Kluyveromyces lactis: one gene and its partner. The protein of the gene in region 2 binds, or shares a complex with, the protein of the main gene of each other region. Links are inferred from orthologs where the notes say so. Each region holds a gene or a part of one and is shown on either strand. Other genes may lie near its edges.

Evidence for each region. The genes of interacting proteins can lie anywhere in the genome.
Region 1: MRPL7 (region 2) and MRPL10 share a complex: the UniProt entries of both Schizosaccharomyces pombe proteins name them as parts of the mitochondrial large ribosomal subunit. The link is inferred for Kluyveromyces lactis from reciprocal best matches to the Schizosaccharomyces pombe genes mrpl7 and mrpl10.

Annotation. Positions count from the first base shown.
Region 1 is NC_006039.1:1,033,445-1,036,025, reverse strand, and holds MRPL10 (mitochondrial 54S ribosomal protein uL15m), read left to right. Parts: upstream 1-1,151; coding exon 1,152-2,081; downstream 2,082-2,581. Other genes in the region: WSC2 (Wsc2p), read left to right, coding at 1-269; KLLA0_C12111g (uncharacterized protein), read right to left, coding at 2,255-2,581. UniProt on the Schizosaccharomyces pombe protein: Component of the mitochondrial ribosome (mitoribosome), a dedicated translation machinery responsible for the synthesis of mitochondrial genome-encoded proteins, including at least some of the essential transmembrane subunits of the mitochondrial respiratory chain.
Region 2 is NC_006039.1:1,326,639-1,329,295, forward strand, and holds MRPL7 (mitochondrial 54S ribosomal protein uL5m), read left to right. Parts: upstream 1-1,287; coding exon 1,288-2,157; downstream 2,158-2,657. Other genes in the region: nucleoporin GLE1, read right to left, coding at 1-847; SEC26 (coatomer subunit beta), read right to left, coding at 2,374-2,657. UniProt on the Schizosaccharomyces pombe protein: Component of the mitochondrial ribosome (mitoribosome), a dedicated translation machinery responsible for the synthesis of mitochondrial genome-encoded proteins, including at least some of the essential transmembrane subunits of the mitochondrial respiratory chain.

The DNA.
Region 1 (2,581 bases), about 290 kb from region 2:
GTGTAAGTCAAAATAGGGAGAAAAGATTGGATAATAATGGAAACGAAATCAGTGATTCGCAAATCGTTAGTCCGTTTGGAGAAACTATGGATCAACCAGACCTAACACAACCTCCTGTACGTCCGACAATGGGAAATCCTAGATTCAGCAATGGTTCTTTACCAGATGTAACTCAACAAAGGCGACCGCTAAGAATCGCCAATCCAGATGAGCTGGATGATGAGGATACAGAATTCAATTCGATCATCGAAAATCTCAGGGGAGATTGATCCTGATACAATATAACATCATCTTTTTAACACATTTCGCTAAGATAATAGCATGATATACCCAATATCATCCCCTTGTTGTTGTCAAACAAAACAAACGCCAAAAGGAAATATTCCAAATATAAAACATCAACTAAGGCCCACAATAAGCCATGTTCCATACTCACTACTGATACTTGATACCCCTAATGAAAACTATCAACTGAGGATCAGTTAATTGTCTAACACTATAAACAAGACAAGTCACAAAATATATCGAAACGATTTATGTTATACTGATAAGTTGGGCTTTCACATATGTACATATATAACGTTATAATACTCATTTAATTTCTTCACATTTTACTTCAAGGTATCTTTATAATGGTTAATTGTCATGTTTACTGTCGGGAATTATTGTGCTACATTTTCATCTAGGGTAATTGTTTAAGGGATCCAAAAAAATGCTTCCAACCAGAGTCGAACTGATGATCTCCACATTACTAGTGTGGCGCCTTACCAACTTGGCCATAGAAGCTGTTTCTTGTCATAAAAAGAATTTACCACTATATACTCCTACGAGATTATTGCCTGCTACCAATTCTTTTCTGGTGGACCTAACCTATTTTGAACTGAGGAATACGCAGTTTATAATGTTACAGCTACATTTTTGAAAAACGTGATGCTAAAATAATAGTAGGTTTACTGAAATAGTTTCGGCTGTTTCAATTTGTCAATCTGCTAGGCGCATCTAAACACTTACATCAGCATTGCATACCCTCTTATCGTCTCCAAGCTCCCTCTGTGTCCTAGCGAATCTCAGCATTTTAAAAGGTTACCCGAATACCTAATTTCGAAAATTTTTTAGAATGAATATGGTTAACTTACAAGAAATTACTGGAGATGATTTGGATATTCAATGAATCTACTGGATATCTACTATTATCGATATTTAATAGCCCTATCTCGAGGTCTCACAATACTAGCACGATGTTTTCGATCAACAAAGTGGTGAATCCCTTTGGATCACTTATACAGAGATCATTTGTACGCCAAATCACGATCCTTGGTGGTTTAAAACCTGGTGAAGGCTCTAAGAAGAACTACAAAAGATTGGGTAGAGGTCCATCCAGTGGCAAAGGTAAGACTGCTGGTAGAGGTCAAAAGGGTCAAAAGGCCCGTGGTTATGTAAAATCATGGTTTGAAGGTGGTCAAACCCCAATCTTCAAATTGTTCCCAAAGCTAGGGTTCACCAACGTAACATCACTAAAATTGAAAGAATTAAACCTTGATAGAATAACGTGGTTCCACCAAAAGGGTCGCCTACATTTGGAGCCAGGTGAAACCTTGACGATGAAAAAGATGAAAGAAATCGGTTTGGTTACCGGCCCGATCAAAGATGGTATTAAGATTCTAGGTGATGGTAAATTCTCTTATAATCTTCCAATCAAGATTGAAGCTACTAGAGCTTCACAGGATGCAATTGAGGCAATCGAACATGCAGGCGGAAGTTTCACTGCTCGTTATTTCAACCGTCTTGGTCTAAGAGCCCATTTATCACCACATTGGTTCCTAGAAAAGTACGGAAGAGTTCCTCTACAAGCTAGACCCACAAAGAGGAAGGATATTGAATATTACTGTAACGAAGAAAAGAGAGGTTATTTGATTATGGAAAATGACCCATACTATCAACTTTTGCAGAAATCCAAAGATGAAGGCGGTAAAAATTTGGTTGCTCGGAAGACCAAGAAGTCCAAGCTTGAGTTGCAATTAGAGCAACTTGAGAACGATTTTGCTCCTGCTTCTCCAAATTCTGAAATTAAATCAAACTGAACATCATATAGCAATATAGAAATGCCCTGTATATAATACACATCATTCAACGCCATTTCTCCAGATTTATACACCATATCAATCAAATTGATATCTGTATTCACAAGTTGTAGCAACTTTTGTCTATTTAATGCTCTAAAGTCTAAAAATATAAGAATGAGCTTGTCTCACTTTTACACATCGTTTTGTGGAGTAGAAGACTCTGTGTTTTTGTTGTCCAACAATCTTTCTTCGAGAACCTGTAGGGCTAACTTTTTCCTTCTTTCTTCCGCTTCAGAGCCTTCAACAGGCTTAGCACCCCTCTTTTGAGCCAAAATGTTAGCTTGTTCGATATCGTATACTCTAAACGGAGTTGCAATACGCCAATCAACAATAAACTTCTGGTAAAGGTAATCAAATATTGGCTCAAGTACTGGTTTGACTAAATCCGGGAAGAAATATATCAATTGGAATGTCTCAGAGGCATCTCCTACCACTTCAAATTCAGCATCCTCAGCCAT
Region 2 (2,657 bases):
AGGTGGGATCCGCCTTCACCGGTTCAATTATTTCTGTTTTAATTGTCTGAATCATGGTTTTGTATTTAGTAAAAGTTTCTTCGATTAACTTGAAATTTGTAGATTCTTTGGACTGTTTAAGTTTATTCCTCTCCAGTTGTTCTTGTTCTTGCTTCTTTTTCAGGGCTTCTACTCTCTTCGCTTCTTCAGCTTTCTTCTCCTTTTCTGCCATTTCTTGAATCTTCCGTTTCTCTTCCTCCTTCAACTTCTTTTCCATCTCCTTTTTATGCTTCAATTCTTCTTGTCTGCGCTTCTCCGCTTCGCATTCTTTCTGGATACGTGCTTCCTCTTCCCTCTTCTTTTTATCCTTTATGCTTTTAATTAAACGTTGATTCACCTTTTCAATTGAATCAATTTCCTCATTCCACACAGATTCAAGCACCTGGTCTTGCATAGGAAAGGTGTGTTGTTCCACCTCGTCAATCAAATCCTTCTTCTCTTGGTAATAAAGTTCTGCTTCGTCAATAAGAACAGGGCCTAAAGCTTTATTCTCGTGACCTCTCGTTGTAAGATGCGGTAGTGCATTCCTTTCAAGAGTGATATTTAAGTTGGAAAGCATTGAAACTATTTCTGGTTCTACCACATCCTCTAAAGAAATTGTATCTCCTGAACTAAACCCTTGCTCTTCACCTTGGCCGTCATTCTTTGAAGAATGGTATAATTTCGGTAGTTTTAACTGGATCCCATCAGATGGATCGCCAATATACGTAAACTCCCCGTCTAATTCATAGTCAGAATCACTGCTGCTGGTATTCTGACTCTGTTTCCGTTCAGCATTCTCGTACAATTCGTCAAATGAGAACCTCATCTCAATTGTCCTGATATGTGTCAATCGCTTTCTTTACTTTATCAAATCGGTAAAAAGCTCAATTCAAGTAAACGATTCGGGGTTAAGTTCGACTGTTATTACCTAAATGGAGAATCCAGCTACGTGTCTTTAAGTACGGGATCAAAAAAAAACGGCTGCAATGCATCAACACAAGGGCTGAAAGGTCAACACTCTCTATAATCATCAACTGAGCTCTACCTGGTTTTTAATCAAATTTCACTTTTTGTTGATTCTTGTCACGTGACGTATATTGAATTCTCTGTACTTGAAAGTTTTAAAAATTTTTCGACCTTTCGAGCTAAAGCTGTAAGATAATGATAGAGATTTGATCAGTTTCACTCGATTTAAAGCAGTATTCCTTCCCATTCGTAGGTTTATACATTCATTCGTTCGCATCTGTGAGAAGATACCAAGTGATAATGCAAGTGGTACGTGGTTTCCACAGTAGTTCAAAGGTCTCCAAAGCTGCTTGTGCTTTGGTTAAGCCAGTGCATCATTTGGTTAAGATCGACAAGAGCAAGCTATCCCCAAGGTTTCCTGAATTGAAATATAGTAAAAACGATATTAGATCTCCAGCATTCAAGCCTGTTGTTACACATCAAGACCGTGTTCGTGAGCATTATTATAATACTTTACAAAGCGATTTATTATTGATAAATTATTCCCACAAAAGCCAAACGAAGCTCGGGTTGAAGCAAAGAGAATGGGACGGTTCTTCTCCATATCACATTAACAGAGAACCCAGAAAACCTAAGGGCTCAAGTGCTCAATTGCCAGATATTCATCCAGTAACGTGGAAGAACATTCCAGACATCGAGTCCGTTGTTATTAACTGTTACGTCAGAGATGCAAAAGAGAACCAATATCTACCAATTTCAGCAGCATTACAATTGCAACAAATTACCGGGTGTAAACCAAAGGCTTTGTTCTCTAGGAATGATGTTCCGGCCTGGAAGGTCAGAAGAGGTACCCAAATGGGTGCTGTCATTACATTGAAAGGTCGTCCAATGTCTCAGTTCTTATCCACTTTGACTGAAATTGTACTACCAAGAATCAGAGAATACAAAGGTATCTCCAACAAGTCAGGTAACAGATTTGGTGGGTTATCATTTGGTATGACCAGCGATGAAGTCAGATTTTTCCCAGAGATTGATGCTAATCAAGATCTTTGGCCAGTAACTTTTGGTATGCACATCAACATCAACACAACTGCCCAAACTGACGTACAGGCTAGAACTTTGGTCAGTGGATTCGGTTTTCCTTTCAACGGTTCGGAAAAGATCAATTAATGCTCCCAAGTAGTTTTTATCCTGTCTTTCGTCCTGTAAATAACACTCACTAATAGGATAAAAAAATTATCAGCATTATATGTATATGACTACCTTTATACAAATGTCGACGTCTCTTAATGTACACTTATATGTAATAGATTTCAATAAGTAAAAAGTGGCATATATATTGCATTACAGGTAATTGGTGAGATCAAAGTCTTCAAATTATTAACCTCAAACACGATCAACACTAACGATATTCATAGTTCTTCCCATTCTGGTAATATTGTCACCATTGGTTAAAGCTAACCCTTGGGTCTTTGAACGAATACGGATTTCACCAACAATTTCTTGTGTGATTGGATCCTTCTCTATGCACAGGTTAGCCAAAGCGTCCTCGCCAAATGTAGATCTAGAATATAAGTTACAACTTAGGAATCTGGAATCATTGTCGCCGAGTGCCTCTTCAGGGGTTAGAACCTTCATATGTGTAACTTCCACCAACTTCTCTAAATAAC